Linked DNA regions of Ovis aries. The main gene of each other region encodes a partner of the protein of the gene in region 3 in a complex. Links are inferred from orthologs where the notes say so. Each region holds a gene or a part of one and is shown on either strand. Other genes may lie near its edges.

Evidence for each region. The genes of interacting proteins can lie anywhere in the genome.
Region 1: TBP (region 3) and transcription initiation factor TFIID subunit 9-like share a complex: the UniProt entries of both Homo sapiens proteins name them as parts of the TFIID basal transcription factor complex. The link is inferred for Ovis aries from reciprocal best matches to the Homo sapiens genes TBP and TAF9.
Region 2: TBP (region 3) and TAF1B share a complex: the UniProt entries of both Homo sapiens proteins name them as parts of the transcription factor SL1/TIF-IB complex. The link is inferred for Ovis aries from reciprocal best matches to the Homo sapiens genes TBP and TAF1B.

What each region holds. Positions count from the first base shown.
Region 1 is NC_056065.1:58,195,974-58,203,242, reverse strand, and holds transcription initiation factor TFIID subunit 9-like, read right to left. Parts: upstream 3,106-7,269; 5' UTR 2,968-3,105; coding exon 2,182-2,967; 3' UTR 2,051-2,181; downstream 1-2,050. UniProt on the Homo sapiens protein: The TFIID basal transcription factor complex plays a major role in the initiation of RNA polymerase II (Pol II)-dependent transcription.
Region 2 is NC_056056.1:19,090,044-19,098,473, reverse strand, and holds the start of TAF1B (TATA box-binding protein-associated factor RNA polymerase I subunit B), read right to left. Parts: upstream 4,351-8,430; 5' UTR 4,303-4,350; coding exon 4,285-4,302; intron 3,232-4,284; exon of another isoform or gene 3,071-3,231; intron 2,625-3,070; coding exon 2,526-2,624; intron 1-2,525. UniProt on the Homo sapiens protein: Component of RNA polymerase I core factor complex that acts as a GTF2B/TFIIB-like factor and plays a key role in multiple steps during transcription initiation such as pre-initiation complex (PIC) assembly and postpolymerase recruitment events in polymerase I (Pol I) transcription.
Region 3 is NC_056061.1:91,742,466-91,750,292, forward strand, and holds part of TBP (TATA-box-binding protein), read left to right. Parts: 5' UTR 1-21; coding exon 22-75; intron 76-1,600; coding exon 1,601-2,007; intron 2,008-4,272; coding exon 4,273-4,360; intron 4,361-5,734; coding exon 5,735-5,826; intron 5,827-6,522; coding exon 6,523-6,690; intron 6,691-7,827. UniProt on the Homo sapiens protein: The TFIID basal transcription factor complex plays a major role in the initiation of RNA polymerase II (Pol II)-dependent transcription.

The DNA of each region.
Region 1 (7,269 bases), on a different chromosome or scaffold from region 3:
TATCTGTGTCATAACTGAGTCTGATTCTGATGCTTGCTTTGGCTCTTCACAGTTTCCATCTTCCCACCTTCCCTCCCTTCCCTCCCTTTTCTTTTCTTCCTTCTCCTTTCCCTCTTTCTTTCTTTCTAATGTCTTACAGCTTTTTGTTGAAAGATGTACATGTATTAAGTAACTAGTAGTGAAGTCTAGATGTCATTAGTGTGAGAATTTATGTTAATCTGGCTATAAGTTTGTGTTCAATGTTAGCTGGTACTGTAGTTACCAGAGACTTCAAATTCCTCCAGTGTTCTTGTTATTATCTCTCCTTTTATTTTTGAACTCCCATCTCACTCTTCTGCAGACAGAGTCTACATCTTTCATCTGTAATTCACTGTACTCTGGATCCCTGGTATAGTGGCCAGATGTAGGGGAAAGAAAGAATTTTATATTTCTGTGACTAAATCTTGGTTTAGGCTTGTGGTTCTAGTCTGTGACTGTTACAAATATTTTTCCAATGATATAGATGTTGTTCACTTTTAAAATGTAATGGGAAGGATAGAGAAAGGCACAGTGGGAGAAATGTTCTTTCCCAGCTGGGGAAGGATTTGGTAAAGTCTTTTCCCCTGGAGTTTAGGTCTTCCTGATGGAAAGTGCTCTGAATGCATTTTGCAGTGATTTCTCTTCTATCCCCAGCCCTGCCAGAGCCATAAGGTATTCTCGAATCTTCACAGTGAGAACTTGGTGAGCTGCATGGAACAAGTACTGAACCCCTTAGACTGTGATCTCCAGAATTTCCTCTTATACTAGTCCACACTATCAACAGTTCATCAAAATTACTATTTAAGTGCTCTTATCTGTTGCTTCATCAGCTTCTGCTCCAGGTAAGCAGATCTTCTGTCTCTCTGAATGTGCCTGCATGTCCAGACTGTGGAGCAACAATTAACCCTACAAATTCAGTTTTCTGTTGTTCAACAAAAGTCACTGGTTTTAGTTTATAAAATGTTTTCTTGTCTTAAGGACAGGTTTGATAGCTTCACAACTTTTTACATGTTAGAGCTCTATCTGGAAGTGTTGTTTTTATTACCATTATTCAGAAATTACAATAATGTTGGCATATTGATTTGAGAAAGCTGTTAACATATTTCTCAGTGGTCAAATTGTTTTTTGCATTTAGTGGGACCATTTATTCTTTTATAAGCATTATTTTGAAACTGATTTATGTTTAGAATGACTACCCAGACTGAAAAGAAAAAAAAGTTATAATTTTGTTTGCTGCTCTAGAAGTCAGCTACCTAGTAATCCTATCTCTTAAGCACTGTAGCTGGAAACCAGGAAATAAGAAAAATAGCCCCTGAACAGTTAATCTAAATATCACAAAATGCAGGTGCTAAACTTCTTAAAGTATAATTTTGGTATAAGTAAAACTATATATAATGCCTATAAAAGTTATGAAGCATCATCTTGTAATCATCAACTATGAATCTACCACCTGTCATAAGAGCTAAAGTAATATTAGTAAATGTCACTCAGTCGTGTCCAACTCTTTGCAACCCTGTAGACTGTAGCCTACCAGGTTCCTCCATCCATGGGATTTTCCAGGCAAGAATACTGGAGTTGGTTGCCATTTCCTTCTCCAGGATGTCTTCCCAACCCAGGGATTGAACCCAGGTCTCCCACTTTGTAGGCAGACGCTTTACTCTCTGAGCCGCCGGGAAAGTCATAAGAGCTAGACCATTGCTAATACTTTCAAAGCTATCACCCATCTGTAGGTCTGCTAATCTCCTGGAGATAATTACTCTCTTAATTTTTAACCATATAATACACCCATTCTTGGAAAATTTTTTCTTGCATATATATTCCTAAATAACATAATCTTGAGCATTGTTTGATTTTTAGTTTTAGTAAAATAAGGTAGCATTCTGTATGCAGTCTTCTATATGCAGTCTTCTGGATTTGCTTTTTTTTTTTTTAAATGCACGAATTGCAACTTTATTTTTTACACTTAAAGGGTGACGAGAAACCATTACTAATCCTATCAAAGAAAATCTAACACAACAGCTCAATCAAAAAGTATGGTAAGCATATTTACTCATTAAATACTATTCTTTCTAGAACACAACATGGAAATATCCAGCATGCATGTTTAATCTCAGTACAACAGATTCAAAACCAAGTATACAAGTTACATGCGTCAAGGCTAGATTACAAGTTATCATAGTCATCGTCGTCGTCATCATCGTCATCATGTTTCCTTTTCAATGTGTTTGATGTTTCATTGGCAGTATTTTGTGATGAGACCATGTTAGTGGTAATAAGAATATTTTTGGACCCAATTAATGACGGATTAATTAGAACATTCTGAACAGCTGATGTTGCAGGAATTGATGCTTTTACAGCTGGGGACTGTGAAGTGGGCATCTGTACTGTGAACCTTTGCCCTGTGAGGGACACTGGAGTCCCTACTTTAGTTGAAACAGACATGGCTTGTGGGGTTGGTGTGCCAAGCGTGGGAGTACTTGGTCTGCTAGTAACTGAACCAACGCTTAACCGTGGAACCGTTATTCTTCCTGCAGAAGTAGATGCCTTTTTTTGTAAAGACTTCAGTCTATAATTTGGAGCAGTCAAGCAATACCTATCAGGTGGCAATCTAGGACCTGAGTATGGCTTGATCAATGGCAAAGGGGTTTGATTTCTTTGCCTTGCAATATCTAATAAAAAATCTCTTGGTGGAGGAGAGGTGAAAGACTGGTCAGCACGACACTGGATTGCCAACCGCACATCATCTGCGTCAACAGTAGCTTTCTTAGCATGACTTGAATAAATTTTGGCATCATCTAGAATTGTGGTTACATATCGGAAGGCAAACTCCAACATCTGATTTATAACTCTTGGTTCATATTCTGTAATCCCCATATCCTTCAGGATTTGTGCCATCATCTGTGCATCTTTCGGCATGCTCTTGGGAGAAGCCATCTTGCCAGACTCCATGATATCCGGTGATCAAACTTCTCGAGCTAAATCACCCACATTAACGTATTTCAGTCCTGATCTTGATGCAAGTTCTTTGCCTAATGTAGTTTTTTCAACCCCTGGTGTACCGGTGAGCAGGATGTTCGGAAGCAACATCGCTTTTTTTTTTTTAAATTAGGTTTTTATACACATTCTCTATACCCAGTGGAGGTAATAATGGAGCTAATAATAATTCATTATGCAAAATGGAGGTAATAATACTTCAATATTTCACTGTATTTTTATATATCAGTTAAACATGTTAATATAGGAAATAACTTAGGAAACAGTTCCTAGCATATCGATCATGCTTTTTATCTTTGATAAAGAAAATATTCTTGTATTCATCCGTTTTTACTGCAATATCAGCTCAGTTCAGTCATTCAGTCGTGTCTGACTTTTTGCGACCCCATGGACTTCAGTATGCCAGGATTCCCTGTCCATCACCAACTCCAGGAGCCTACTCAAACTCATGTCCATTGTGTCAGTGATGCCATCCAGCCATCTCATCCTCTGTCATCCTCTTCTCCTCCCACCTTCAATCTTTCTCAGCATCAGGATCTTTTCCAATGAGTCGGCTCTTTGCATCAGGTGGCCAAAGCATTGGAGTTTCAGCATCAGCATCAGTCTATCCAGTGAATATTCCTTTAGGATTGACAGGTGAGATATCCTTGCAGTCCAAGGAACTGCAATATACTGCAATATATATCATATTTTATATACAGTTGTTTCCTCTTATCCACAGTTTTTATTTCCAGAGTTTCACTTACCTGTGGTCAACCACAGTCTGAAAATATCAAACGAGAATTCCAGAAACAAACAATTCACATTTAAATTCTTTGCCATTCCAAGGAATGTGATGAAATCTTTTGCTGTCCTGCTTCATCCCTCTGAGGATCCTTAGTGATTGACATTGTCTGCTCTAGATATCCAGCCATCCACATCATCATGTCTCAGTGATCTGGGATCACATAAAGTGGATATGCCTCCTTTTGAGGTGTCATCAGAAGGTCAATAGTAACCAAATACTACATTGTTGTTATTGTTATTCAGTCGCTAAGTCATGTCTGACTCTTTGCAACCACGTAGACTGCAGGACAACAGGGTTCCCTGTACTTCACTATCTCCCAGAGCTTGTTCAACTCATCTCCATTGAGTAAGTGATGCTATCCAACCATTTCATCCTCTGTCACCTTTTTCTCCTCCGGCCTTCAATCTTTCTCAGCATTAGAGTCTTCTCCAAAGAGTTGGCTCTTCACATCAGGTAGGCAGATTATTGAAGCTTCAGCATCAGTTCAGCTCAGTTCATTCAGTCGCTAAGTCATGTCCAACCCTTTGAGACCCCAAGAATCGCAGCATGCCAGGCCTCCCTGTCCATCACCAAATTCCGGAGTTCACTCAGACTCATGTCCATCGAGTCAGTGATGCCATCCAGCCATCTCATCCTCTGTCGTCCCCTTCTCCTCCTGCCCCCAATCCCTCCCAGAATCAAAGTCTTTTCCAATGAATCAGCTCTTCGCATCAGCTGGCCAAAGGACTGGAGTTTAAGCTTTAGCATCATTCCTTCCAAAGAAATCCCAGGGCTGATCTCCTTCAGAATGGACTGGTTGGATCTCCTTGCAGTCCAAGGGACTCTCAAGAGTCTTCTCCAAAACCACAGTTCAAATGCAACAATTCTTCAGCGCTCAGCCTTCTTCACAGTCCAACTCTCACATCCATACATGACTACTGGAAAAACCATAGCCTTGATGGACCTTAGTCGGCAAAGTAATATATCTGCTTTTGAATATGCTATCTAGGTTGGTCATAACTTTTCTTCCAAGGAGTAAGTGTCTTTTAATTTCATGGCTGCAGTCACCATCTGCAGTAATTTTGAAGCCCCCCAAAATAAAGTCTGACACTGTTTCCACTGTTTCCCATCTATTTCCCATGAAGTGATGGGACCAGATGCCATGATCTTCATTTTCTGAATGTTGAGCTTTAAGCCAACTTTTTCACTCTCCTCTTTCTCTTTCATCAAGAGGCTTTTAGCTCCTCTTCACTTTCTGCCATAAGGGTGGTGTCATTGATATTTCTCCTGGCATTCTTGATTCCAGCTTGTGTTTCTTCCAGTCCAGTGTTTCTCATGATGTACTCTGCAAATAAGTTAAATAAGCAGGGTGACAATACACAGCCTTGATATACTCCTTTTCCTATTTGGAACCAGTCTGTTGTTCCATGTCCAGTTCTAACTGTTGCTTCCTGACCTGCATGCAGATTTCTCAAAAGGCAGCTCAGGTGGTCTGGTATTCCCATCTCTTTCAGAATTTTCAACACTTTATTGTGATCCACACAGTGAAAGGTTTTGGCATAGTCAATAAAGCAGAAATAGATGTTTTTCTGGAAGTCTGTTGCTTTTTCCATGATCCAGCGGATGTTGGCAATTTGATCTCTGGTTCCTCTGCCTTTTCTAAAACCAGCTTGAACATCAGGAAGTCCACAGTTCACGTATTGCTGAAGCCTGGCTTGGAGAATTTTGAGCATTTCTTTACTAGCGTGTGAGATGAGTGCAATCTTGTGGTAGTTTGAGCATTCTTTGGCATTGCCTTTCCTTTGCAATTGGAATGAAAACTGACCTTTTCCAGTCCTGTGGCCACTGCTGAGTTTTCCAAATTTGCTGGCATATTGAGTGTAGCACTTTCCCAGCATCGTCTTTCAGGATTTGAACTAGCTCAACTGGAATTCGATCACCTCCACTAGCTTTGTTCATAGTGATGCTTTCTAAGGCCCACTTGACTTCACATTCCAGGATGTCTGGCTCTAGATGAGTGATCACACCATCGTGATTATCTGGGTCGTGAAGATCTTTTTTGTGCAGTTCTTCAGTGTATTCTTGCCACCTCTTCTTAATATCTTCTGCTTCTGTTAGGTCCAGACCATTTCTGTCCTTTATCGAGCCCATCTTTGCATGAAATGTTCCCTTGGTATCTCTAGTTTTCTTGAAGAGATCTCTAGTCTTTCCCATTATGTTGTTTTCCTCTATTTCTTTGCATTGATCACTGAAGAAGGCTTTCTTATCTCTTCTTGCTATTCTTTGGAACTCTGCATTCATATGCTTATATCTTTCCTTTTCTCCTTTGCTTTTCGCCTCTCTCCTTTTCACAGCTATTTGTAAGGCCTCCTCAGAGAGCCATTTTGCTTTTTGACATTTCTTTTCCATGGGGATGGTCCTGATCCAATCTCCTGTACAATGTCACAAACCTCCATCCATAGTTCATCAGGCACTCTGTCTATCAGATCTAGTCCCTAGAATCTATTTCTCACTTCCACTGTATAATCATAAGGGATTTGATTTAGGTCATAGCTGAATGGTCTAGCGGTTTTCCCTACTTTCTTCAATTTAAGTCTGAATTTGGCAATAAGGGGTTCATGATCTGAGCCACAGTCAGCTCCTGGTTTTTTTTGTTGACTGTATAGAGCTTCACCATCTTTGGGTGCAAAGAATATAATCAGTCTGATTTTGGTGTTGACCATCTGATGATGTCCATGTGTAGTCTTCTCTTGTGTTGTTGAAGAGGATGTTTGCTATGACTAGTGCGTTTTCTTGGCAAAACTCTATTAGCCTTTCCCCTGCTTCATTCCACATTCCAAGGCCAAATTTGCCTGTTACTCCAGGGGTTTCTTGACTTCCTACTTTTGCATTCCAGTCCCCTATAATGAAAAGGACATCTTTTTTGGGTGTTAGTTCTAAAAGGTCTTGTAGGTCTTCATAGAACCGTTCAACTTCAGCTTCTTCAGTGTTACTGGTTGGGGCACAGACTTGGATTACCGTGATATTGAATGGTTTGCCTTGGAAATGAACAGAGATCATTCTGTCATTTTTGAGATTGCATCCAAGTACTGCATTTTGGACTCTTTTGTTGACCATGATGGCTACTCCATTTCTTCTGAGGGATTCCTGCCCACAGTAGTAGATATAATGGTCATCTGAGTTAAATTCACCCATTCCAGTCCATTTTAGTTCACTGATTCCTAGAATGTCGAGTTTCACTCTTGCCATCTCTTGTTTGACCACTTCTAATTTGCCTTGATTCATGGACCTGACATTCCAGGTTCCTATGCGATATTGCTCTTTACAGCATCGGACCTTGCTTCTCTCACCAGTCACATCCACAGCTGGGTATTGTTTTTGCTTTGGCTCCATCCCTTCATTCCTTCTGGAGTGATTTCTCCACTGATCTCCAGTAGCATATTGGGCACCTAATGACCTGGGGAGTTCCTCTTTGGTATCCTATCATTTTG
Region 2 (8,430 bases), on a different chromosome or scaffold from region 3:
AAGATTTTTAACCAAAAATGAACACTACCTATGTATTTGTCTAAATCTAGAGATTTGGAATGAAATTTACCTTCAACTTTCATTAAGAATAAAAGAAATGTCTCTTAACAACAGGATTTGTGGAACACATTCTCTCTGTACTCCACAGAAACCACATTCAAAGCTGTTCTGGTGGATGGGGTTGGCCACACTGAGAACATAAGACACTTCAGAACACACACCAGAGCAATTACCCAACAAAAAAAGGTAAAACCTATAAAGAGTGGGGGTGGGGGGGATAGCGGGGGAAGGCTTAAAATAAGAATTAGACAAAATGCAAAATAACTAAAAGCTAAAAAAAGCTAAATACCCAGACTGAAGCTGTAACTACAGAATGGTTTTACTGTGGACTATTTATACAGTTAATTAACACATTCACACAAGATTGGGGGTACTCACCCATATCCCCTTGCCCCTCTCATATACAGACAGTCTCTCATATGAAAGACTAAATGGAAGCTACTGAAATGTATGTTGAGCTCACTGGTGATTGTAGCTTTCACCTTCATCATTTCTACATTTTCTACAGTAAATCTGTTCTTATGATCATATAAATCTGTTAAACTCACATGATCTTCGCTTATACCTTTATTAAATACCCATAAAATACTTGCAAGAATGTCTATACATAGACCAGATTTAAGACCTGAAAATATTTTTCCTGTATAAAGTCAATCAAGATAACATTCTAATTCCTTTATCAATTCAGAAGGCCTTCCTTCAGATGATGGGTATCTAGAAAATGAAAATTACATACAAGAGTAAGTTGAGGGGCAATGAAAGGAGCAGAAAAACACGGAAAGCTGTACCACAACCTCCACTCTCCATAGGTGTAACCACAGCTCACCGGCCATTTCCCACCAGGTGGATTTAAACATTGGCACACCAAGCCCACACCAGTCATGTCCTTTTCTATCTAAAGAACGTGCCATAAAGCCAAGAGAACCACTGAGGTTGTGCAACACACAGCTCTGTCTATCACACGGGAGGCACTGAGATAGGTTCTGGGCCTATAGGAAGATGGTGCCCACCGTCCAGAAGGCTCCACTCTTGACAGGTTATTCCATACAAAGCTGGTACCTTTCAAATGTGGAAATACTGGTATTAGGACCTTTCAAGTTAAAAACTGACTGCAGCAGATTTTATCAGACAGAAATAAATAGAAATACTATCAAAGACAAATAAAAGAAAGCAATTAGTTAATGTATTAATAGTTTAATTTCTCCAAAGAAAGTATACGCTGTCTTCATCTGCTAATGACAGTCCATTATACACATCTTGCTTCACCATGTTTACATTTGCACTGCTGGTACAAAACCAAAAACTGTTAATGCCTCAACAAACATCAAAGCAAAGGACCAAACTGTGCATATTTAAAGTGTATGATCTGATGTGTGTGTATGTATATCCGTGAAACCATCACCACAAACGAAGTAATGAACATATCATCGCCCCAACAATTTCATCCAGTGAGTTCATATCTTATAAATACTGTGAGTGAGCAAATGGGAAGCAGAATGAAGAACAATGACTGTCTCAGTGATAGTTGCAAGCTAAATTAACCACTTTTCTCAAAAAAGTCCCAGAGGACTACAGGGCAAAGATAATAAACATATCTGCTCTTCCTGGCTCTGTAGAGTTTGAGCAAATCCTCTTCCGGAGAGAAAAGTCCTGGTGTGTTTAGCCCACCCAACAGCAGGCTGTCCACACTCTGGATTATTTGGTTATGTTGTTCTGTCCTGAGGGTTGTGGTGACGAGAAGAGGACCTAGCATTTCCTGTGTGAATGCAGTCCCATTTACCAAGGACCCACAGGACAGGATGTCAGCCTCTGTCCTAAGAGGCAGATGTGGTAAAATAAAATGAACACTGGAGTCAGAAGCCTCAGGTTCAAATCCTGCCTCAACACTATCTAGCCATGAGACTTTGGCAAACTCACCTGATGAGGCCCACTTGCCCTACCTGTAGACAGGCATAATAGTGTATCTCACACATTGTAAAGAGGAGGAAATGAATGAATGGATAAGAAAACACTCACGATGTGTAAGGCATTGTGCAAAGACATAAAGATAACAATGTATATTTCCAGTACTCACGACAGTCCTCTAACATTGTATATTCCAAACCTCCATGCTATCATGGCACATTAAAAACTCTTAAATAAGTACTAACTAATGAAAAGAAATTTATCATCGTCCAAGTGCAAGTTTAATTATTTCCCCTTATAAATATACCATACAGTCTGAATCAGGAAAACACTTATATTTATGGCCCAAGATAGTTTCAGAAGCTCATCCTAAATCTCATTCAAAGTCTTTAACCCTTGTGTCAGTACTTGAGGACGACTTACATTCTCGGTATTTGGGCACTGCTTAGTAATAAAAATAGATCAATTTGGCGGGGGTGGGGGGGTACTATGCCATACATTAGGCTGACATTGCAATTTTTAAAGCACAAGCAAATTCATAAATGAGACTTGTTACTTACTTCTGTAACATTGTGGCAAGAAGTGCAATAATATTTGCCTTCATCAGTAAGACCCCAAGAAACAGCGGCACACTGAGAACAGCGCTCTCTGAACTCTCTCTGTGGGAGAAAAGGAACGTCATATTTAACACACTGCACCTAAACCCTGCCGTTCTACCTAAAGGTTTCCCTGCAATTTTACTCTATCAGTAAAGAATCACTGAAAATAGAAAACATACCAGAGACTATTATCTACAAACAAGGAGAACAGCAGTTCAGTCTGAGCAGTTTGAAACAGAATTAAACTAAAACACGCAGTGTGTGGGAAGGGGAAGAAAAAAGATGGTAGCGGTAAAGTGGGGGGTGGGGGAAGATGAGTAAATAAAACTTGAAAATGCTGTGAGGAAAAAAGATGAGATTTAAGTATAGAGAAGACATAAACAGCATACCATTTGGAACTTCCTCCAGGACACTAAGAACACATAACCCAACACAAAGGAACCAGAGTTTTATTACAGTTATTTCAAGTTTCCATTTGTTCATTCAGCAATCCAAGGAGTACCTACTATGTATACACTTAACTAAGTGCTGGAGATGTGACGTTGAGCAAAACAGACAAGAGCCCCACTCCTAACTCTACAGGTTCATGGTAAGTTCGAGTTGTTCATTTCATTAACCAAGTATCTACACACCGTTAACCATCATTCAAGAGACATTTATCGAGCACCTACAATGAGAAAAGCCTTCTATCACCATGATGCTTCTGTACATACATAGACTGGCAGTGAATAATTAATTCTCAGCTCTTCGGTGTGTGAAATCTTATTATCATTGATCTAATTACCCAATATTCCTCTAACACCATCAGTTCAGTTCAGTTCAGTCCCTCAGTCTGACTTTGCAACCCCATGGACTGCAGCATGCCAGGCCTCCCTGTCCATCACCAACTCTTGGAGTTTACTCAAATTCATGTCTATTGAGTCGGTGATGCCATCCAACCATCTCATCCTCTGTCCTCCACTTCTCCTCCCGCCTTGGATCTTTCCCAGCATCAGGGTCTTTTCAAATGAGTCAGTTCTTTGCATCAGGTGGCCAAAGTATTGGAGTTTCAGCTTCAGCATCAGTCCTTCCAATGAATATTCAGGACTGATTTCCTTTAGGATGGACTGGTTGGATCTCCGCGCAGTCCAAAGGACTCTCATCAAAGACTGGCAAAACGCACGGCTAATTGATTTAAAAAGCAGGTCAAGTTTTCAGGGACCCTATACTGGTAACTAGTGAAATCTTGGCCGTGCCCTCACACCCGAATTTGGCCCTCCCTACGCAAGGCTGAGACGAGGATTCCCAAAGACTAGGTGCTGGGAGATGTGACGTTACTTGGGGCTACAGGGGTTACTTGGGGGGCATTCGGGTTCCAGCCCCAGGCCTCCCTCGCCCAACCTCCAGCATCAAAGGGAACTTGCGGGTGGTCCAGTCTAGAGGAGGTGAGCCACGAGGGCGGCCACCTCACAAAACCCACAAGTTCATCCTCCCTCTAAAACACACCCCCTTCGATCAACACCTCACCCCGTCTCCACTCACAACCTCAGCCAGCCAGGGGCTCCAGCCTGTCTCCCCCACCACGCCGGTACCCGCGGCCCGCCAGCTCCATCCCTTTCTGACCCGCCCCACTTCGAGACCAGAGCGCCTCCACGGCCGGCAGGCGTCCTTCAGCGCCTGCTCCTCAGCCTCACGGCCCTCCCGCCCCGTCGCCTGCTCGCGCGGCAGCCGGACTTCTCACCGTCTCCTCCAGGTCCATAACGGCGCTTCAGCCGCTTCAGCCGCCGGGACCCGTTACCCGGGCAGCGAGCGCAGCTTCCGGGAGCGGCGGGAAGAGCCCTCCGGGCGGAAACCCAGACTCTTGACTCTGGATTTCCGTCCCCTACAGCCGCAGGGAAGCCTCCGCGAGCGGTGGGAGGAAGCTCCGCTAATCCGGCATCCCTCCCAGAAAGCATCCCGTTCCTACTCTAGGAACCCGAGCCAATCAGTTAAAAAAAAAAGGTGGGCGGCGCCTACTGCTGAGCGGATTCAGTCTTTTCCGACAGCTGGTGAGAAATGCGAAAAATGAAATGCAAAAAGGCGAAATGGTTGTCTGAGGAGGCCTTCCTTACAAATAGCTGAGAAAAGAAGAGAAGCTAAAGGCAAAGGAGAAAAGGAGAGTTATACCCACCTGAATGCAGAGTTCCAAAGAATAGCAAGGAGACGTAAGAAAGCCTTCCTCAGTGGTCAGTGCAAACAAATCCAGGAATACAACAGAATGGGAAAGACTAGAGATCTCTGCAAGAAAATTAGAGATACCAAGGGAAATTTTCATGCAAAGATGGACACAATAAAAGACAGAAATAGTATGGAGCTAACAGAGGCAGAATATATTAAGAAGAGGTGGCAAGAATACACAGAACTATACAAAAAAGATCTTCATGACCCAGATAATCACGATGGTATGATCACTCACCTAGAGGCAGACATCCTGGAATGTGAAGTCAAGTGGGCCTTAGGGAAGCATTACAAACAAAGCTAGTGAAGGTGATGGAATTCCAGTTGAGCTATTTCAAATCCTAAATGATGACACTGTGAAAGTGCTGCACTCAGTATGCCAGCAAATTTGGAAAACTCAGCAGTGGCCACAGGACTGGAAAAGCTCAGTTCATTCCAATCCCAAAGAAAGGCAATGCAAAGGATGTTCAAACTACCACACAATTGCACTGATCTCACATGCTAGCAAACTAATGCTCAAAATTCTCCAGGCCAGGCTTCAGCAATACGTGAACCGTGAACTTCCAGATATTCAAGCTGGTTTTAGAAAAGGTAGAGGAACCAGAGATCAAATTGCCAACATCCGCTGGATCTTCGAAAAAGCAAGAGAGTTCCAGAAAAACATCTGCTTCTGCTTTATTGACTATGCCAAGGCCTTTGACTGTGTGGATCACAACAAACTGTGGAAAATTCTGAAAGAGATGGGAATACCAGACCACCTGACCTGCCTCTTGAGAAATCTGTATGCAGGTCAAGAAGCAACAGTTAGAACTGGACATGGAACAACAAACTGGTTCCAAATTGGGAAAGGAGTACGTCAAGGCTGTATATTGTCACCCTGCTTATTTAACTTATGTTCAGAGTACATCATGCAAAATGCCAGGCTGGAAGAAGCACAAGCTGGAATCAAGATTGCAGGGAGAAATATCACTAACCTCAGATATGTAGATGACACCACCTTTATGGCAGAAAGTGAAGAACTAAAGAGCCTCTTGATGAAAGTGAAAGAGGAGAGTGAAAAAGTTGACTTTAAAACTCAGCATTCAGAAAACTAGGATCATGGCATCCAGTTCAATCACTTCATGGCAAATAGATGGGGAAATAATGGAAACAGTGAGAGACTTTATTTTGGGGGTCTCTAAAACCACTGCACATGGTGACTGCAACCTTAAAATTAAAAGATGCTTGCTCCTTGGAAGAAAAGCTTTAACCAACCTAGATAACATATTAAAAAGTAGAGACATTACTTTGCCAACAAAGGTCCATCTCATCAAAGCTGTGGTTTTTCCAGTAGTCATGTATGGATGTGAGGGTTGGACTATAAAGAAAGCTAAGGGCCAAAGAATTGATGCTTTTGAACTGTGGTGTTAGAGAAGACTCTTGAGAGTCGCTTGGACTGCAAGGAGATCCAACCAATCAATCCTAAAGGAAATCAGTCCGAATATTCATTAGAAAGACTGGTGTTGAAGCTGAAACTCCAGTATTTTGGCCACCTGATGTGAAGAGCTGACTTATTGGAAAAGACCCTGATGCTGGGAAAGATAGAAGGCAGGAGGAGAAGGGGACGACAGAGGATGAGATGGTTGGATGGCATTACCAACTCATGGACGTGAGTTTGAGTAAGCTCTGGGAGCTGGTGATGGACAGGGAAGCCTGGTGTGCTGCAGTCCATGGGCTCACAAGGAGCTGGACATGACTGAGCGACTGAACTGAACTGAACTGACAGCTGATCTCTCCTGGCTATACTCTAAGTATGTGGGCTGCGAGGGGTGCCATGGCTTGTACCCTGAACCCTCTGGATTCTCCACCTACTTGCGGCTTTTCACAGCACAGGAGAGGTGCCAGGTTCTGGAGGAAAGAACACATTGTTGAATTACACCTGGGTTTCTTATCACAGCTTTTCTGTGCCTCCCCTGTAAAAATTAGCTACTATCCATGAGTCCCTTGCAAGGGATCCTCGCATGGTAAATACTTATTAAATTTAGTTTCATTGTTGTCCCTTCATTGAACACATTCATTTCACTAAACAGGTGCTGTTTTAGGTCTTGAGGATTCAGTAGTGAGCCCAGTAAAGAAATATTCCTGCTTTTATGGAGATTATAATCTAGTGGGGAGAGAAAAAATAAATAAGGAAAATATATGGTATATTAAATGGGCATGATTGCCAAGGAGGGAAAAATAAAACAGGTAAAGGAGAATGGGAGCCATAAGGCGGTTTCAATTTTAAATGGAGCGGTCAACAGTATAAATGGAGTAGTCAACAGTATGAACACCAAGGGATGGGACAAAGAAGGATGGGACAAATTGGGAGACTGGGGTTGGCATATTGATACGCTATTGATACTAAGTCTAAGTGTAAATAGATAACTAATGAGAACCTACTGCATAGATCAGGGAACCTTACTCAGTGCTCTGTGGTGACCTAAATGGGAAGGAAATCCAAAAAAAAAGAGGGATGGGCTACACGTACATGGTATACCTATAGCTAATTCACTTCACTGTACAATAGAAACTAACACAGCCCTGTAAAGCAACCGTACCAGTAAAAGTTAATTAAAAAAAATAAGTGAAGTGGTCAAGAAAGGTCTCACTGAGAAGGTGACCTATGAGGCAAGGGAGTAAGAACCATGCTGGGAATATCATTCCCAGCAGAGGGAACAGCGAGGACCAGGGCTCTAGTCTTGAGTTTCATTTCAGGATCAGCAAGGAGGTCAGCCAGTGGCTGGAATGGTGAACTAAAGGGAGAGCAGAAAATGAGAAGGGGGCAAAATCCAGTTATAAGGGCTTAGAGACACTGTATGAGCAGGTGGAGGATTTCTATCTGACATGTTTAAAAGGTCAGTCTGGCTATTGTGGGGCTTCCCCAGCGGCTCAGACAGTAAAGAATCTTCCTGCAATGCAGGAGACATGGATTCATCCCTGGGTCAGGAAGATTCCCTGGAGGAGGAACTGGAAACCCACTCCAGTATTCTTGCCTGGAAAATTCCATGGACAGAGGAGCCTAGCAGGCTCCAGTCCATGGGGTCACAAAGAGTTAGACACGACTAAATAACCAACACTGGCTGTTGTGAGGAGAATGGACTGCCAGGGGTAAAGGCAGAAGCTGGGAGGCAAGTCAGGAGACTATCAAAATAATCCTGGTTGCTTGAACCAGGTGAAAGCAGGGGAGACAGTGAGAAGTAGACATGGAAATGTGTATTTTGAAGGTGGAACCATAAGGATAACTTGATGGACAAAAAGTTCATCAAGCAGCTATAGAGGAAGAAGGTGGTCAAGTATGACTTCAAGATTTTTGTCCTGAGCACCTGGAAGAGTGAAGATATATTTGACAGGGTAGGGGCAGGCTATGGCTGAAAGAGTTTGGGAGGAGGTAAAGGAGGAATTAGGAACTTGATCTTTGGCATATGAAGTTAGAGATGCTCATAAGATGTGCAGGTCAGATGAGAAGGCAATTGGATGTAGGAGTCTAGCATTCAGAAGCAAGTTCTGGTCTGAAGATATATTCTTGGGTGTGCTTTCTGCTTAGATGGTATTTAAAGTCATGAGAGTAGGTAAGATCACCAAGGGAATAGCTCTGTATTCGCTCACTCCTTCTTCACTGGTCAATTCATTTCTTTCCCAAAGTCATTAA
Region 3 (7,827 bases):
TTTGCCAAGAAGGTGAACGTCATGGATCAGAACAACAGCCTCCCACCTTATGCCCAGGGTCTGGCCTCCCCTCAGGTAATGCAACTGGAGGGAGGGTGCACGTGGACAGAATCTGCACTGTTAGAGATACTGTGAAAGGGAAGGAAGGGAATTAAGCCATCTATTGCTGAAAATGGACTTACATTTTTTAAAGTCTTCTTTATTTCATTGAGAATTTCCTTTAGATTTTTAATAGGCATGATAACGTTTAATTTGGGAAGTTTGGGAGCTAAAATATATATTTGTCTATAAGACTTAATCTTTTGATAAACACTTACGAAAGTGGTCCGAGTGATTACAGAGTGTTTGATTTTGTAAGTAACCTAATTATTTTCTAGCTTTATCTTTTCCTTTTTATGTTTAAAGTTCCAAATAACATATCTACTTTTAAAATTTTTAAATAACTTCTGTTAAATAAAAAAACCCATTTTAAGTATGTGTTTTGATAAGTGTATGCACCTTTGAAAGTTCTGAAACATTTCATTTAGCCTAAAAATCCCTCTCTGCCCCTTTACAGTTACTCCCCTGGCCCCAGGCAACAGCTGATCCACTTTCCAGACGTAGAGGCAGCTTTGCCTGTGCTAGGGTACTGTGCAGGTGGCACCCTCCCAGTCAGTGTGTGCTTTCTGTGGGTCTGTCATCTTAGCCCAGCATAATGTTTGCATATATCAGCGAATTCCTTTTCATTGCCAAGTGGCCTCTTGTGTGGATGTAGCACAGTTTGTTTTCCAGTTGCTGACCTTAGGGCTGTTTCTAGGTTGAAGCAATTGGGAGTAAAGGTGCTGTATGTGTATAGTCTTCATGTCTGCTGTGTGTTTATTTCTCTTGGGTAGATACTCAGGAATGGGATTGCTGGGTCGTTGTGTAAGTGTGTGTTTAACTTTACAAGAAAGTGCCCTGCATGCTCTCAAGTCCTGCCGCAGCATGTGAGCATTCTCGTTGCTCCACACCCTCACCAGCACTTCTGTTTTCACTTGAGTCTAAAAGTGAAAGTGTTTTCCTGTTGACTTACGATCTTGAGCATTTTGTCAACTGCTTAGTAACTGTTCATGTATCTGCATTTGTAAAATGTCCTTCACATCTTTTGTCCGTTTTTTATTGGTCTGTTTGTTCATCTTTTATTGCATTTTGATTGTTCTTTATTCTGGATACAAGTTCTTTCTCAGATGTATGTATGGTAGATGTTTTCTCCTAATCTGTGTCTTAATTTTTAATTTTCTTAATGGTATCTTTCAAAGAATGGAAATTCTCAATTTTTTCACAGTCTTAGACCATTGTTACCCTCTAGAGCCTGAAGGGTTAAGCATCTTCCTAAATTCTCACGTGTTGTTCGTTGAATTTCACAGCTAGGTCTACTTCCACACCCTAAGCTCTTACCTACTAGCTCTGTGCTACTGGGCTGCGGTGAAGAAGAAAGTGAGGGGTGTGAGATGATGGCCCAACAGCCCCATTTGTTCTCGGACGGTGCCTGTCTGCACATCTCACCTGCACTTCTGCCAGCCGAGTTCTGCAGATGCTTGACACCAGCCAGTCTAACCCATTGTTCTCTAACTGCCCACAGGGTGCCATGACTCCTGGAATCCCTATCTTTAGTCCAATGATGCCTTACGGCACAGGACTGACTCCACAGCCTATTCAGAACACCAACAGTCTGTCTATTTTGGAGGAGCAGCAACGGCAGCAGCAGCAGCAGCAGCAGCAGCAGCAGCAACAGCAGCAGCAGCAACAGCAGCAGCAGCAGCAGCAACAGCAGCAGCAGGCGGCAGTGGCAGCCGTCCAGCAGTCGACGTCCCAGCAGGCAACCCAGGGGCCCTCGGGCCAGACACCACAGCTCTTCCACTCACAGACTCTTACGACTGCACCCTTGCCGGGCACCACTCCCTTATACCCCTCCCCCATGACCCCCATGACCCCCATCACCCCTGCCACGCCAGCCTCAGAGAGCTCCGGGATCGTGCCGCAGCTGCAGTGAGTTCTCCTTGGTGCCCTGCCCCTGCCCTGGAGGGACCCCCGCAGCTGCGCTGCTGTTCTCTGCTCTCAGATGGATTGATTCACTTGTGTAGTGTTACTGGTGATCATGCATCAAAACATGCTTTATCTTACTTGAGAAAGGGAAGGGAAGCTGTCTTAGTGAGTCAGTGCCCCCAGTAAAGGTCTCTCAGGACATCTTCAGGAATTTGGTAGCTGTGCTTAGATGCTTGGGCCAGTGAAGTCCAGTTTGGATTGCATTATTGTTGTTGATATTTCACTGTAGCTGATTAACCAGATCAAGCCTTATATAGTCTCCCTCCCTTGTGGTATTATAAGTCTTTGGAAAGATTAATTGCAAAGTCACAGAATCATCATTGTTCATAGTGGTCCCTGTTTTTCTTCATTGTTTATTATAAGGGCTGCATATAAATCTTTGAGAGCTGTGTCCTTCCCACAAGCTGAGGATGGCTGTTCTTGCCCTAAATGGATCTTTCTACCTATGTGCAGTGGGTCCTGTATGTAACAGGAAAAGGGTAGGGGGACAGGTAGGGAAAATTTCTCCTCCCTGAAAAACAGATATCCTCATATCTGTCAGTAAGAATTATATAGCTTTTGCCATGAGGAAGCTTATAACCACATGAAGGGTTATTTGTAATAATACATCACCCAGTTTTCATGCCAGTCACTCCTAATCATTTTTAGAACTAAGTAATGTTTAATCATGGATCATGACTGTTACACAGAGACCTAAATCTTGCCCTGGGTGTGTGTTTGGTCTGAAACAATTTAAAAAAACAAAATAATGTTAATGATTTTAGAAAGATAAGCACTTACTAGTTCACCTTTGAAAATACCATATGCTGTTGTCTTGCACAGTTACCTGGCTCCTATGCCCATTTAAGTTTGCACCTTTGGTTTAAATTGTAATTTATACCCAGTTCAGATGGGTGTTTATTTCTTGCCAGCACCTTAATATTTCTGGTATTCCACAAAGCATCCCCCAAAGTTCACAGAATTGTGGAAATTAAATAACATACTTTTAAACAGCCAGTGGATCAGAGATCACAGGGGCAATTAGAAAATAGTTAAGACAAATAAAAATGAAAATACTGTATAGGGCTTCCCAAGTGGTGCTAGTGGTATAAAGAATTGCCTGCCAGTGCAAGAGGTGCAAGAGATGTGGTTGGATCCCTGGGTCAGGAAGATCCTCTGGAGTAAGAAATGCAACCCACTCCAGTATTCTTGCTTGGAAAATTCCACGGGCAGAGAAGCCTGATAGACTTAATGGAAGCCTGATGGAGCACGGAACATATTTGGGATGCAGCAAATATGGTGCTGAGGGTGAGATTTATAGCTGCAAAGGATCACATTAAAAAAAATATTTCAAAGCAATAACATTACAACTAGAAAAAGAGCAAACTAAACCAAAAACTGTAAGAAGGAAGGAAATAATGATTAGAGCAGAGATAGATGAAATAGAGACAAAGAAAACACTAGAGAAAATCAATGAAACAAAAGATTGGTTCTTTGAAAAAATCAACATGTAGTTAGACTAACAAAAAGTGAAGACTCAGAGTGCTAAAATCAGAAAGGACAGTAGGGATGTTGCTACCGATTCTATGAAGTAAATAGATAAAGTTATGGGAACTTGTGTATATAAAATTGATTAGAAGAAAACAGATGTATAAAAATGTTAAAAATGAAAAGGGAGTTTTTGTCTCCCGCCTGCGATGCTGTGAGGCGCAGGCGCCTCAGCACAGTTACGGAGGGGCTGCTCCGGAATACCAGTTGCCCCCTGACATCAGGGGGAGCAACTGGGCGGGGTGGGGGGCCCCCAAAGAGAGGAGAAAGAGTTAAAAAAGTTCATTGGACCTATGTAATAAATATCAGTGTCTGGTTTTCTTGATCTACTGAGCGTTAATTGGAAGAAAAAGGTTTCCTTCCTTTGTCAGAGATAATTTAATTTTTGTTTGTCCAAGATACTTATTTTGAAAGAAGGTATATACATGCCTCACTTAGGCATGTATATACAGAGCAGTTTCTTCATCTGAAGATGGCAGTATTAATAGTTATTACTTCATAGTGTATTGTGAGTACTAAGTGAGGTTATCTTTGTATTATGTTGGCATGGTGTTTGGTACTTGTTTGAACACTTAATGTCAGCAATTAAAAAATTTGTTTAATTAAAAAAAATTAGGAAAGATTGTGTTTTTTAGATAACTAACAGTAAATAATCATGTTTTCTTTTCAAATTTTTTACAGAAATATTGTATCCACAGTGAATCTTGGTTGTAAACTTGACCTAAAGACCATTGCACTTCGTGCCCGAAATGCTGAGTATAATCCCAAGGTCAGAACAATTGTATCAAACCACAGTGATAACAGAATTTTCTTCCAGAGGTCTTTCGATTAAAAAGAATATGTTGTGTTTAAGTTTGTTGACACCAACCAAACAAGAATTTAAAGCAAAATATGTAGCGTTTTTGTTGAATAACTGCCAAGTAAGAGACTGTCAGAATACAGCAGTCCACAGGATAAAGTCTCATACTTACTGTGAGGGGATCATGCACAGTTACTGAACAAAGTATGTAGTGTGGTCCCATTTGCATTTTGAAAACTATGTAGAATAGAATGCCAGGCTACTTGGAATTTACTTCAGAATAATGCAATTGGAGAATTGGGAAAGGGGCATTTGAATGAGACAAGATTAGCCAAAAACTAGTAATTGTTAAAGTTGGATAATAAGCACAAGGAAGTTTAATATATTTTTCTACCTTTGTATAACTGCCAAGTTTTTTTTTTTAAATAAAAAGATTAAGAAGAAAATACCTACAAATTTTCAGATTTTAAGATAGCAACCTAATGCATATGGCAAATCTGTATGAGTATAGCATTATAAGAATTAACCTTTTGTCTATCATAATTTTATTAAGTTGAATACATAATTTTACATTTTTTTTTTTTTCTAATGAAATGATAGTAGTTATCCAACCAGTAAAACTGGTTAAAGGAATTTAGGAAATGTAAAAAACTATAGAAGGAATTTAGAAAATGCTAAATAATTAGACATTTCCTGGGACTTGTATAAACTAGAATATAATGCTACCATTTTTACATGGTGGTAAAGTTAGAAGGAAGACAGATCATAGTTTTTAAATTAAAATTGTTAAAGCTATCTAACTTATCAGAGTCATCTTCATTAGAAATATGTGAATTTTTATGTGTACTTAGGTAGCAGATATCACATTTTTAGAGAAGCCACTGCATTTGTATAAATGCCAGTAAAGCAGTGCAGTTTCTAAGAGTCTACGGGAATGGGGAGGTCGCTTCACTGTGTGCTGATGTGCTTGTAATCTGATATATTCCTTCTGGAGGTGGAAAGGTTTGTAAGTTGATTTGCCTAAAAAATCATTAATAAAACAGAAAATTCACAGGTAAAGTTTTGCAGATATTATTTATCTTCAGTTGTTGGGATGTCATGACAGAATCCAAAACTCTTGGCCCAGCTGCCTCTGTCGTCACAGTTGACGTGTTTGTTTCCTATGCAAAAGCATGTGTGCCACGTGGCGATGGAAGGGAGTCCTGTAAGGAAACACGTGACAGGTGTCGTAACTGGCTCAGCACCAGGTCCCTCTCGTTGTCTGGGATGCTCCTGTTGTTGTGTAGGTCTCCTGATGGAAGTCAGCAGTCTGACCTCATTAACTGTTGTCTCTGGCTGTTCCAGCGGTTTGCAGCTGTCATCATGAGAATAAGAGAGCCCCGCACCACCGCACTGATATTCAGCTCTGGGAAGATGGTGTGCACGGGAGCCAAGAGGTGGGTTAGAGGAGCTCCTTGTCCAGGCCTGCATGTTACAGAGACGGCTGTGCCATGGCATCTAGGGCTAGGCTGCTGCTTTAATGCAGACACAGTGTTACTGTTGCTTTCGTATTAAAGTAGTTGATTCTCATCACCTTAGACAGTGGCGGCTTCATTTTCTTAACAATAGGCGTTAGTTTAGGACGTGTGTTCCAACCTTATTTCTGTGTAACTCAGCGTGTGTACGTGCCAGACTTTCGGCATTCGTGACTGTGCACTTGATAGCCTTTTGTCAACAATGATGCTACGGCTTTCATTCTGCTTTTGTTACAGAAGCCCTGCACTGCTAAGTCATATTTTATCCAACAAGTCAGTTCTAGGAATGGATAAAGAAGGACATACCATAAAAGAGGAATTAGTGTATACATTCTTTGAGCATAAATCTCATCAGTATTTTCCTATCAAAGTGACGCTTGTTGGTTTTTATCTTAGTACAAATTTGTGGGCTTAAATACAGCAATATTCATGATAATGGTGATGCTGATATTATACTTCATATCCATGAAATCTGGGGCTATCAATAATTTGGTGACTTGAAAGGTACTCGTTTTGGTAGGCCTGCAGTTTTCTGTCAAGGACGTGGGAAAGTTTCTCTCGTCTAAATAATTGCGTCAGCTGTCTTTGAGAATGAATAGCTCGCTTTTTCTTCCCTAGTGAAGAACAGTCTAGACTAGCAGCAAGAAAGTATGCCAGAGTTGTACAGAAGTTGGGCTTTCCAGCTAAGTTCCTGGACTTCAAGATTCAGAACATGGTGGGGAGCTGTGATGTGAAGTTCCCTATAAGGTTAGAAGGCCTTGTGCTAACCCACCAACAATTCAGTAGGTAAGTCTGAAATACATGGGGTGGTTGCTTTTGTCAACAATTTAAAGTTATGATCTATTTAAACATTGTTCATGGTAAAACTTAAGCAGAATAATCAGTTCAGTTCAGTTCAGTCGCTCAGTCGTATCCGACTCTTTGCGACCCCGTGAATTGCAGCATGCCAGGCCTCCCTGTCCAACTCCCGGAGTCCACTCAGACTCACGTCCATCAAGTCGGTGATGCCATCCAGCCATCTCATCCTCTGTCGTCCCCTTCTCCTCCTGCCCCCAATCCCTCCCAGCATCAGAGTCTTTTCCATTGAATAATTAGTAAGAACAAATGATACACTGATAGGTACATTTATTGCTGAAGTGTCTTCCCGATTTCTTTGGTAGTACCTACTGTGCTCACCAGCCTCCTACTTCTCTATCTTGTAACTCAGTGACACCCAGAACTCCCCTTTACTGGCATGAAATTGATTCCCTTCTGTATGTTTCATCATTTTATTGCTCAATAAATACATTTTAAATGAACAAATGAAACCCACAACCTCTTGTATCAGTTTTCCCCCCAGTTGTTTGAGTCTTTTGTTCTACTTCCTGAAGAAGACTTCAAAGGCAGGTGGTCCTTGATCACCTCTCACAGCCTGTCTGCTCACAGCAGCCCCATGGCTTATCATGTCCCTCTTGCACCAGGACCCTTGCACATCCCACTTTTATCCCTGGCACACTCTTCTGTCACTTTTTACCTAAGAAACTCCCACTGGCATTTCATGTATCCATCCCAGCGTCTCCCTTCCTCAGAGAAGCCTGCCTTGAATTTTCCAGTAAGTTAAACACGGTCATACATCCTGTTTTCCATCTAACAAAGTGAGATTACTAGGGTTAGAACAAAATCGTACCAATAGTGCATTTAATCAGATAAAACAGGGCAAGGTTCAGTCTCCAACCAGTGTCTTTTCTGGCACTTTGGTTAAATTGCCTGAGCAAACGTAGCAGCTAGAAGATATTTCACTTTAAGGAGATGCGATGTGAATGATTAGAAAATCAACTGTGTGACTGGCAGATCTTATAGATGGATAATTACTGGGCTCTTTTAAGTTGATATAAACTTGTCCAGAATGAAACTTGATAAAAGATCAGAGACTACAGAACACAT